Xenopus tropicalis: one gene and its partners. The protein of the gene in region 2 purifies or fractionates together with the protein of the main gene of each other region. This does not show direct contact. Links are inferred from orthologs where the notes say so. Each region holds a gene or a part of one and is shown on either strand. Other genes may lie near its edges. The genes, in order: cyb5r3, rtn4 and atl3.

The links.
Region 1: the proteins of rtn4 (region 2) and cyb5r3 purify together in Homo sapiens (affinity purification with mass spectrometry; 3 studies listed by BioGRID and IntAct, counting the BioPlex papers as one, with this or other methods). This does not show direct contact. The link is inferred for Xenopus tropicalis from reciprocal best matches to the Homo sapiens genes RTN4 and CYB5R3.
Region 3: the proteins of rtn4 (region 2) and atl3 purify together in Homo sapiens (affinity purification with mass spectrometry; 4 studies listed by BioGRID and IntAct, counting the BioPlex papers as one, with this or other methods). This does not show direct contact. The link is inferred for Xenopus tropicalis from reciprocal best matches to the Homo sapiens genes RTN4 and ATL3.

The regions. Positions count from the first base shown.
Region 1 is NC_030679.2:2,598,352-2,602,683, reverse strand, and holds the start of cyb5r3 (cytochrome b5 reductase 3), read right to left. Parts: upstream 2,882-4,332; 5' UTR 2,808-2,881; coding exon 2,787-2,807; intron 1-2,786. Other genes in the region: endoul (poly(U)-specific endoribonuclease), read left to right, coding at 3,537-3,550. UniProt on the Homo sapiens protein: Catalyzes the reduction of two molecules of cytochrome b5 using NADH as the electron donor.
Region 2 is NC_030681.2:24,264,219-24,267,870, forward strand, and holds part of rtn4 (reticulon-4), read right to left. Parts: intron 1,255-3,652; coding exon 1,198-1,254; intron 556-1,197; coding exon 1-555. UniProt on the Homo sapiens protein: Required to induce the formation and stabilization of endoplasmic reticulum (ER) tubules. They regulate membrane morphogenesis in the ER by promoting tubular ER production.
Region 3 is NC_030680.2:36,371,914-36,376,127, reverse strand, and holds the start of atl3 (atlastin-3), read right to left. Parts: upstream 2,892-4,214; 5' UTR 2,880-2,891; intron 486-2,879; coding exon of another isoform or gene 484-485; coding exon 277-483; intron 1-276. UniProt on the Homo sapiens protein: Atlastin-3 (ATL3) is a membrane-anchored GTPase that mediates the GTP-dependent fusion of endoplasmic reticulum (ER) membranes, maintaining the continuous ER network. It facilitates the formation of three-way junctions where ER tubules intersect.

The DNA of each region.
Region 1 (4,332 bases), on a different chromosome or scaffold from region 2:
TTTGGGGGTGCAGGAGTACAGGGGGGCCAGTGGGGTCCCTGACTGATGTACAATATATGTGTGAGATACAGATCATTATCCCCAAGGTTTGGGGGTGCAGGAGTATAGGGGGGCCAGTGGGGTCCCTGACTGATGTACAATATATGTGTGAGATACAGATCATTATCCCCAAGGTTTGGGGGAGCAGGAGTATAGGGGGGCGGGGTCCCTGACTGATGTACAATATATGGTTTGGGGGTGCAGGAGTATAGGGGGGCGGGGGTCCCTGACTGATGTACAATATATGTGTGAGATACAGATCATTATCCCCAAGGTTTGGGGGTGCAGGAGTATAGGGGGCCAGTGGGGCCCCTGACTGATGTACAATATATGTGTGAGATACAGATCATTATCCCAAGGTTTGGGGGTGCAGGAGTATAGGGGGGCGGGGGCCCCTGACTGATGTACAATATATGTGTGAGATACAGATCATTATCCCCAAGGTTTGGGGGTGCAGGAGTATAGGGGGGCCAGTGGGTCCCTGACTGATGTACAATATATGTGTGAGATACAGATCATTATCCCCAAGGTTTGGGGGAGCAGGAGTATAGGGGGGCGGGGTCCCTGACTGATGTACAATATATGGTTTGGGGGTGCAGGAGTATAGGGGGGCGGGGGTCCCTGACTGATGTACAATATATGTGTGAGATACAGATCATTATCCCCAAGGTTTGGGGGTGCAGGAGTATAGGGGGGCCAGTGGGGCCCCTGACTGATGTACAATATATGTGTGAGATACAGATCATTATCCCCAAGGTTTGGGGGTGCAGGAGTATAGGGGGGCCAGTGGGGCCCCTGACTGATGTACAATATATGTGTGAGATACAGATCATTATCCCCAAGGTTTGGGGGTGCAGGAGTATAGGGGGGCCAGTGGGGTCCCTGACTGATGTACAATATATGTGTGAGATACAGATCATTATCCCAAGGTTTGGGGGTGCAGGAGTATAGGGGGGCCAGGGGGTCCCTGACTGATGTACAATATATGTGTGAGATACAGATCATTATCCCAAGGTTTGGGGGTGCAGGGTATAGGGGGGCCAGTGGGGTCCCTGACTGATGTACAATATATGTGTGAGATACAGATCATTATCCCCAAGGTTTGGGGTGCAGGAGTATAGGGGGGCCAGTGGGGTCCCTGACTGATGTACAATATATGTGTGAGATACAGATCATTATCCCCAAGGTTTGGGGGTGCAGGAGTATAGGGGGGCCAGTGGGGTCCCTGACTGATGTACAATATATGTGTGAGATACAGATCATTATCCCCAAGGTTTGGGGGTGCAGGAGTATAGGGGGGCCAGTGGGGTCCCTGACTGATGTACAATATCAATATATGTGTGAGATACAGATCATTATCCCCAAGGTTTGGGGGTGCAGGAGTATAGGGGGGCGGGGGGCCCCTGACTGATGTACAATATATGTGTGAGATTACAGATCATTATCCCCAAGGTTTGGGGGTGCAGGAGTATAGGGGGCCAGTGGGGCCCCTGACTGAATGTACAATATATGTGTGAGATACAGATCATTATCCCAAGGTTTGGGGGTGCAGGAGTATAGGGGGGCCAGTGGGGTCCCTGACTGATGTACAATATATGTGTGAGATACAGATCATTATCACCCAAGGTTTGGGGGTGCAGGAGTATAGGGGGGCCAGGGGGGTCCCTGACTGATGTACAATAAATATATGTGTGAGATACAGATCATTATCCCCAAGGTTTGGGGGTGCAGGAGTATAGGGGGGCCAGTGGGGTCCCTGACTGATGTACAATATATGTCGTGAGATACAGATCATTATCCCCAAGGTTTGGGGGTGCAGGAGTATAGGGGGGCCAGTGGGGCCCCTGACTGATGTACAATATAATGTGTGAGATTACAGATCATTATCCCCAAGGTTTGGGGGTGCAGGAGTATAGGGGGGCCAGTGGGGTCCCTGACTGATGTACAATATATGTGTGAGATACAGATCATTATCCCCAAGGTTTGGGGTGCAGGAGTATAGGGGGGCCAGTGGGGTCCCTGAACTGATGTACAATATATGTGTGAGATACAGATCATTATCCCCAGGGTTTGGGGGTGCAGGAGTATAGGGGGGCCAGTGGGGTTCCTGACTGATGTACAATATATGTGTGAGATACAGATCATTATCCCCAAGGTTTGGGGGTGCAGGAGTATAGGGGGCCAGTGGGGTCCCTGACTGATGTACAATATATGTGTGAGATACAGATCATTATCCCCAAGGTTTGGGGGTGCAGGAGTATAGGGGGGCCAGTGGGGTCCCTGACTGATGTACAATATATGTGTGAGATACAGATCATTATCCCCAAGGTTTGGGGGTGCAGGAGTATAGGGGGGCCCCTGACTGATGTACAATATATGGTTTGGGGGTGCAGGAGTATAGGGGTGCAGGAGTATAGGGGGGCGGGGCCCCTGACTGATACCAGTACAGGGATACTATACAGGCCCAGGCGGTTCCGGTTCCGGCCCAATACACAGTACCAGGCTACTGCACCTCACAGTGACCCCCCTGGAGCCCACAGATTGCCAGTTCCGGCCCCCCCCCCCCCATGGTTCTGCCAATGGTACGTTCCAGTACCAGCCAGTGACAGGGGGCTGATGGGTATAGGGACGCTATACAAAGCCCCATACTAAGGGTACAGCTGGGTCAGGCCCAAGTGCCACGGAAGGGGGGGGGGCAGTTAGAGCAGTAGGAGGGCGGGTCGGTAGGTTCCTGGGGGGGCACTTACCGTGCTAATTTGGGCCCCCATTTTACAGGTCAGTCAGGCGGACACGAACTCACAGAACGTCTCAGACTCACTGCAGCAGAGCCACGCCCACTCCGCCGTCAACACTGTACCACCCCCTTATGACTGGCTCCTCCCGCTTTTCTAAAAGAACCACAAGCCAACCAATCGCGTCATCCTCCTCCCTATGTGCCCGCCCCTTGACCAATATGCAAACAGCCTTATCTATGCGCCCGCCCACAGGCCTGCCAAATACAAGGCGCCCTTCCTTGAAACGCAGTATCCCGCCCGGTCCGCCCACCTCTCTATGTCGGCCAATCGCTTTGCAGGTTTATCTGACAGACGCACCCTCCCAAAACTTTGTGCAGCCAATCATTACATATCCTGCCGACCTTCCCAATTCTCCAGCAGAAAGTCAACATTAACAGCTAAACTTACTGTCTAAACATGTTTTGTAAGTCCCTCCCACTTGCCGCTTTCTTATTGGTTAAAAGTTACAAAAGCCCGCCCACTCAGTATTATCCCAACCCACAATTTAAACCAGAAAACCAAGCTGTCCGTCAATAGCTCACCCAAAACAGACACGCCCCCAAGTCTTTACAGTAGCCCAAGCGAAGAGGCAGGGGTGGGGCAGGGCTCCTCCCTTGTCGCGGGTTCCTATTGGCTGCTCCGGGGTGACGTGGGATACTTAGCGGTCTAGCGCTATTAGAGCGAGTGAGTGGGGAGCCGGCCGGAGAGTGACGGGCAGGAACCATGGAGAGTAACAGGTGGGACTGTCACCGGCTGTGTGTTCGGGGCTCTAACTGGGGCAGGGGCTGTACGTGATGTGGGGCCCCTACCTGGGGATGCAGGGCCGGTGAGTGAGGGGCCCCTACCTGGGGATGCAGGGCCGGTGAGTGAGGGGCCCCTACCTGGGGATGCAGGGCCGGTGAGTGAGGGGCCCCTACCTGGGGATGCAGGGCCGGTGAGTGTGGGGCCCCTACCTGGGGATGCAGGGCCGGTGAGTGAGGGGCCCCTACCTGGGGATGCAGGGCCGGTGAGTGAGGGGACCCTACCTGGGGATGCAGGGCCGGTGAGTGAGGGGCCCCTACCTGGGGATGCAGGGCCGGTGAGTGAGGGGACCCTACCTGGGGATGCAGGGCCGGTGAGTGAGGGGCCCCTACCTGGGGATGCAGGGCCGGTGAGTGAGGGGACCCTACCTGGGGATGCAGGGCCGGTGAGTGAGGGGACCCTACCTGGGGATGCAGGGCCGGTGAGTGAGGGGCCCCTACCTGGGGATGCAGGGCCGGTGAGTGAGGGGCCCCTACCTGGGGATGCAGGGCCGGTGAGTGAGGGGCCCCTACCTGGGGATGCAGGGCCGGTGAATGAGGGGCCCCTACCTGGGGATGCAGGGCCGGTGAGTGTGGGGCCCCTACCTGGGGATGCAGGGCCGGTGAGTGAGGGGCCCCTACCTGGGGATGCAGGGCCGGTGAGTGAGGGGCCCCTACCTGGGGATGCAGGGCCGGTGAGTGAGGGGCCCCTACCTGGGGATGCAGGGCCGGTGAGTGAG
Region 2 (3,652 bases):
GGTCAACATCAACTTGAAATTTTCCTACTACATCTCTCACTTCATAGCTAATATCAGCTGACTTTGAACTCATGAACGGTTTAAAGTCAACATACTGATCCTCGACTTCCTTGATATCCGTAAACTCTTCATGAGGAGGCCCAACAGACTGAAGCATACCTGAAAACATCTCTTTAGCAGACTGGGAGTACAATTTAGCGTGCTCTTCAGAGATGGTCTCCTGTCGAGATGTTGGATGCTCAACTACATAACCCTTCTCAGAAAATATCACATCTTCCTTAACTTGGTCTAAAGCTTTAGTTTCTAAGTGGTCTGTTAATAGTAAATTATCAGTGGTCCTTGATACGTTAAATATGTTATCGATGTGTTCTTGCAAAGCTTCAGTGGCAGCTAAGCCAGCAGGCAAAGCGACAGTGTCCACATGCTCTTTAGAGGAATCAGTAGACAGAGAAGGCAAAGAAGAAAGGGAAGCAGTAGACTGAAGCAGCACAGATGCAAGTTCCTCTTGGCCAGTGGATACAGTGCTAGAAGGCTCTTGCAAGTCCGTTACTTTGTCTGTGACCACGAACAGAAAGGAAAGTTATCAGTAGCAGACAGAAGACATAAGCATTTACTGCACAGATAAAGCAATAGATTTATTAGGCTGTGTAGCTGTTGTTAAATAGAAATGCAGGCGGAGAAACAACCGAGCCACTCGCTCCTGTGTGCAGGCATTCAGTGTATTTTGTAGTGAAAAAATGCACATTTTCACCCCAAGATTCATTGTGTGCGTCTGCATAAAGGTCCATGTGGTGCCTGATAAAGGGGTTGTTCACTGTTAAATTATCTTAGTATGAAGTAGAGAATGCTATTCTGAGACAATCTGCAATTGGAAGCTTGGAATTTCTCTCTAAAACATACTAAAAGTTAACTCAAAGTTGAACAACCCCTACAAACAATACTCATGACATAGTAAGAACATGGATGCTTCAAATGATCCCAAAACTCGGTGCTCCGTTTCCTGAGGGTAAGTGTTGTGCACAGGGCAGACAGACACAGTGACACTCTAACCAATAATAAGTAAAGGAGCAAGTGAGAGAGACAGACAGACAGACACGGCCACAGTGACACTCTAACCACTAATGAGTGAAGGAGCAAGTGAGAGAGACAGACAGAGGGTTAATGCAGAGACAGAGCAGGAGAGCAGAAAGAACTTGCCTGCAGAGGGGTGCATCAGAGGCGCAGATGCAGCAGGAAGAGGGAAAAGGTTCTCATCTGAAAAACAAATACACAGAGGCCTTAGAGAAATGTCGCTGATTAGATCAGAAGCAAAAGGAAAACTAGCAATCTTACATTCCCTGAGATTTCATTAAGAGACAGAGCATTAAGAGAGATATACGAGAGCATAAGTATAACATATATATATATATCTCAGACAGAGACTGCTGGCTTAGCCCTTCCTTTTGGCAGCCCAGAACATGCTCCATGCAGCCACAACATACTAGCATGCCATGCAAGTGCCAATCACGCTGCTCAGTAATAGGACCAAGCCAGAATGCACCAAAGGGGCGCACCATTAATGCTGGGGCAGAAGGATAACATTTCGATTATGGAGAGGGGGTGCCTAACAAATTGGCACCCCCAGTGAATTTAGCTTTCACTCCAAAACTATTCAAAGGACCACATTAAAGGGGAACGCCACCCAAACACAACTTACGTTTTTTGAAAAATAAACATAATTTCAAGCAATTTTGTAATATACATCAAATAAAAATATCCAGGCTTTACATGTTTAATGTAATACTATGGTTTGGAACAGTTTCCTAAGCCCCGCCCCCTGTTGATCTGGCTGACTGCTTTGAGCCAATTCCCTGAACACATGATGTCAATAAGGAAAGGAACATCACAGTGCAATGCACTGTGGGTTATGTAGTTCCTTTCTGCATGCTGTCTGTAAAATGTGGAGATTATGTTATAATTTGTAACATTGATGTTTTAGTCCCTCCTCCCCTGCCAGGATTTCAAATCATGTAGAAAGAGAAAAGTTGTTCATAGTATGATTTCCATATACAAATGGTATTTATTCATACTTTTATTTTTAAGGAACAGATTACAGTGATAGGTACATTAGGGGTTTCTGTGTTGAGTGAGGCTCTTTAACAAATTTTGATTCTAAAGCTAGAGTTCCCCTTTAGGGAAATTTAAATTAAATGTAAGGTTTTAAACTTACCAATTAAATTTACAGCAAAAGGGCATCTACTGAACTAATGGATTCTGTTCCCCATAATACAGAGAACATAGCACAGTAATACATTTCCCTAATGATGTTAAAAGGAGTTTTAAATCTTAAGCAAAATAACTGGACGCCCACATGGAACCCAAGAATATTTTGTGTCATCTAAAAATGAATGTTCTGTCACAGCAAAGAAGCCACTAACTGCAGGGCCAGTTTCCATGGCTATAGCTGTAGATCATATAGACATCATCTGCCAGGAACTCAGCCAAGTCGATTCACGTGCAACAGCAATGAGATTCTCTACCAAGTAAGAGCGGCAACAACTAAATTTAGGCATTAGGGCAGGAGGATAGTGGGTGATGCAGAAGGCATATTCATCAGTACAGCAGTATGGGCGGAATGCACAGTAACCAGCAGGACCAGCGACAGAACTACAGGAGCAGCTGCTGCCGATGATGCATTTTGATCCTGTTTGAGCTGTTTCAGACATGTGGTGCCTATAAAGCCAATGGTTTCCATGTTGCAGCAGTCTGGCAGAGCTTTAAACAAACGTCTTTACGGGAAGATATAATAGAGCAAAGATGAACTTTGAGCCTTAATAGACTACAGGATAAACCCATAATACACTGCCAAGTACTCAAAAGTATGCAAAATGCTCTAAACAGGTATGGGATCTGTTATACTAAAACCTGTTATCCAGAAAGCTCAGAATTACAAAAAGGCCATCTCCCATAGATTTCAATATTAGCAAATAATTCTAACTTTTTAAAAAAAGATATCCCTTTTCTCTGTAATAATAAAACCTTGATCCCAACTAAGGTATAATTAATCCTTATTGGAGGAAACACAATCTTGTTGTTTATGTAATTTTGAGGTATTTAAGTATGGATATACAGATTACAGAAAGACCCCTTAACTGGGAAACCCCAGGTCCTGAGCATTCTGGATAACAGGTCCCATATCTGAACTTTCATTTCATTGCACTGCTGTACATAGCCAAAGTAACATTAGCCCAATTACAAACAAGAAAATGGATTCCAGAATTTTCCTGCTTGTCTCCTCATTTCTAGCAAATAACACACTTTTGTCATTGTCACCATAAGTCTCTGCTCTGCTAGTGCCCGCAGTTCAGAGAATGACAGCTGCTTTATTACATACGGTAGTAATAAACATACAGTAATCTTTAGAGGATAAGTCATTTCTCAAGTTCATAAAACAAATGTACCCACTGAAAGTCTCTTAAATAACTCTGTCTGTTATTATTAACATGTATCTATTAAAGCGCCAACATATTCTGCAGCACTGTACAATAAGTTCAGATCTCTAGCTGTAAGTCCCCTTTCATGCCTGTATTCAGCGCAATGAGGCACCTACTACAGCAAGTCTGCACCCCTCCAGGCAATTTTGATCAAAACAGCAAAGATAATGAAAATGACT
Region 3 (4,214 bases), on a different chromosome or scaffold from region 2:
TGCACACTATCAGCTTACAGGAGGCTTTATTTGGTAGTAAATCTTGTTTTTATTCAACCAAAACTTGCCACCAAGTGAGGAATTCAAAAATAACTACCTGGTTTGGGGGCACTGGGGCCAACGTTCAAGGGGTTGGTGAGCAACTTGTTGCTCTTGAACCACTGGTTGGGGATCACTGGTTTAGAGACACATAGTCATAATAGAAATTAGTGATCTAAATCATCTGAAAGTAACTAGTGCAGATTCCTGAGCCAATTCAGTACCCTAGGATGTTACCTGGCTGTAGACATATCTCAGCATGAAGTCCAACAAGAATGATTTCCCTTTGCGGAAAGCACCTGCTACTGACACAACGACAACATCCAGATCACGAATATGATCCTGAAGTAGTACAGATGCCAGAGCTTCTTCATCCAGCTGGAAGGAATGGTCATCCTTTTGTACTAACACTACCTGGACCGGACCAGGTGCAGAAGAAGCCATGTCTGCATGCAGAAAACAGAAAGAGCCAAAAAGAAAGGAAGAAATGCTGTGTATGTATTTTATATTCAAACAACTCAGTAAGAACAAAATAATGCTATTGTGTACACAGGAATATACAGAGAAACATCATTACATTTTTCAAATGTAGTACTCTGTCTTAAAGAAGAACTAACCTACAAGCCCTGCTCTAACATACCAGTGCTGACAATGCAGTGTTTCCCAGCAATCCAACAATCCTCTACTTTTTGCCCACAATCACCAACCAGGAACATGTACATATTCTAATGTTGCCACAAAGCAGAGGACCAGAAGTCAAGCAGCCCACCATGCAGCACTGCATTTTCAGCATATCTGTATGATGGAGCAGGGCAACTCTGTGCTGGGGGTTGCAGGTTGTCTTTACTGAGGAGAAGGGGAGGCAGTGCACGGGAACCCAGGTTAAAGTTTGCATTTAGTTCTCATTTAAATATTAAAAATATAAATTTAAGACATATTAAATATATAGATTTTAAATAAATTTTTAGTCTGTTTCCTTTCTCACACCCGTTTCTCACATGCCAATCGTTTGCCATCCACCTTGTTTTCCACAAGCACCTTCAGGCACAGCATCCACCTGTCAATGCTCACATGGGGTGGGTTTTGCCCTGAAAATGCCCAACTTCGCTTTTCAGGCCAAAATCTGCCCCATATGCACATTGACAGATGCCTTGCTGTCAGTTGGTGCTGAAACACCAGATGTTCTCATGTCACTTGTGGCAGGTGTCATGTGTGTGTGACAGCAGCCTTTATCTTGGGTACCCTGATGCTGCTTTACTAAAACTGTCAGTGTTCTTTTTTTTTATAGTTTATCCTTTTATTTTTAATATAACATACATGAAACAAAACATCAAGAAAAGAGTAAAGAAAAAAATAAAATCGGAAAAAAAGGAAAAAAATTATATACCGTTGGATACAGTATTGCGGTAACATATTAAACATGTTTCAGTTTTGTTATGACAGATATACTAATAAATTAACATAGGTTTGGTTGGTATGACATAGATTACAGTTGTATGGCGCTAATCCATTCACTTATATTGTAGTAGGGTTGGAGGTAGTGTAGAGGTTTTTTAGGTGATTATTGCTTGGGGAGTTTGCTAGGGAATTAAAGTCATCCGCATGTGTAAGTTAGGGTATTGTATTTTATGCCAGAGTACCTTGTCCACCTAGGCCCGCCTCCCACCATGGGCTCCAAATTTTCTCAAACTTCTTTTTGGAACCTCTGGCTAACAGAGTAAGTTTAATGAGGGGCAGAACTTGATTTACCAGGGTGATCCAGTTTTGAACCGTAGGAGGTTCAGGTCCCATCCAAGCCATTGCAATGATTTTCCTGGCATAATATAGAAGTGTCCTATATCTGGTTCTAGCATAGTTGGTAGTTATTAATTCATCTAGGATTCCCAGTATGCATATTTGGGGTGTCAGAATTTTGGGGAATTCTAGTTTATCTGCTAGGACACACATAACCTCAGACCAAAATTTGGCTATTTGTGGGCACGACCAGGCCATGTGTAGGAAGTTCGCCTCTTCCATTCACTGTCAGTGTTCTTTAACATATAGTCAAAGGTAAAAGAAAGCTGAAAGTTGTAGTTGTAGTAATTAGAAAAGAGTATTTTAATGACTAGTGATAGCAAAAAGTAATTGCGTAGTACAGAGTACTTTTTTTTTTTAGCAAAAGAAAGCCAAAAATTCATTTTCTTTGCAAAGAAAGAAAAAATCTAAACACCTTTGTAATATACATGCATAAAAATGTTTCTGTTGTTTACAATTTTATTTTAAATGTGTTTTCACCTAAAAGTGGTATCTATATTCCTTTCTCTTTCTGCACTGCTAAAACAACACAGAAAATCAGTTCACTTCCAGCTCTGTTCCTTACTGGCTTCTGGCACATTGTGCGAGGAGTCGGAGCCAGCAAGGTGGAGAATGTAAACAGTCAGCAAAGTACCGCTTTCAATAGCAATAACTCTTATAAATAACTTATTATAGATCCTTTACAATCTGCATGTAATGAAGAAAAAAGGCAGACACTCTTGGGATTCAACATACTTTGTTGCAACCCACTAGAGTTTATATGTAAACACACAAAAAGTTATCTACAGTTATGCTGGGCACTCAAACAAACAATCTTTATGGACACCGACTTATTAGTAAGAAGTTACCTCTGTAATGGCTTTTATGCTCATGAATTGCTGTCACCAGCAAGCAAAAAGAAAGTTAAAATATTGCAAAGTATGAGCATGGCTTTTTCATTATACAGTGACAGAGAGTCAGAACAGACGACATATTATGTAATTCTCATAACCTATTAATGTCAGCATACAGTTCCCCAGAAATAAATGGTTGAAATTGCATTTTACCTCTTATAAATGTAATTGTATCAAAGCTGCAGAGAGACCCTCACTGTTCCGTGCCTGGCCTGAAATCAGGGCTGGGCGTGTCTTCACGTTCAGTCTTCCACAGGAAGTAGTCATAATTGTGAGTGACTGGTACAAATTCTGCAATAGCAGCCCAAGTCCCGCCCCTTGTCTTTGTGCTACTAGCCCAGTCAAAGTGGGTCACTGTAAATGAGGGTAGTGCAGCTGCAGTTTTGCTCCAAACTCAAGTGTTCTATTGTCTCACACTATCATTTGTTAGAGCTTCTCATTCTCAGCAATGTCTTTGGCTTTAGGCACATAGTACTGACAATCAGCTTTTCTCCAACAGTATATTCTCACAGGCAAGAAAAGCTGATACATTCCCATCCAATCCTTTTTCTTGGTGCACTGACAGTTCTAGTGTCAGTCTGTGAACGCACAGACATTTCGCTGCAGAAACACAATAGAATGCATTCACAAGGGTGAATGACAGTAAGCACAGCACTGAACACAGATGATACATAAACTGCGTTCCGTCTGCGATTGGCAACCCATGTGTGAGAGCCCTTATTTGCAGGTATTCTACTACAGTCTCCCATGGCAGTGTTCAATACAGCAGTGACTCAAGGAACACACTTTCTTGTCATTATTTAATTTGACATATCAGGAAGTGGCATTGTGGCTGCCACAGAAAAACAACTACCTTCAGTCTTGGAGAGAGACAGCTCTAGTTCTGTGACAGCTGGAGGGCCACCTGCTCACATGGGGTAACAAGTTTCCAATAGCAAACAAACACAGGTGACATAGACACGGGTATTAAAGCTGCCTCCTCACACCTGACTGGTGTCAGCGCTCATGTGCCAATCATATCTAAGTGGGGTATCCCTTTAGCTCAACTTTACTGGTTAGTGTCTTTATATAGGTACCAGAGGATGTGCGCAGGTCAGAATAAGAACAAAATTATATGGCCATCAGCTGTGTATCAGAGCCAAATTTGAAGTATGTACACCCCTAGGCTGTAGCAAAGCTCATCACTAACAATAGAATTGCGGTAGTGGGGACTGGAAGGGCGGAGAGTCAAATAGCTGTTTAGATCTTCTGTCTGCCCAATCCCAAATGTAGATGAGGCACGGTGGCATGCTGTCCTCACAGTCCTCCTGATGCCCTAGGCCCAGGCCTTTGTGGCCTTTCCACAAATATGTGCCTGGTGTCTATAAAGAATATATGGCCCTGGGTGGTGGCAACCTTGTATGAATTGCTCAAGTATACAAGAAGAAAGCATTTATTCAATCTGCTATCCTTTCACCCCAAAATTGTGCACTTCCCGTCTGACTACAG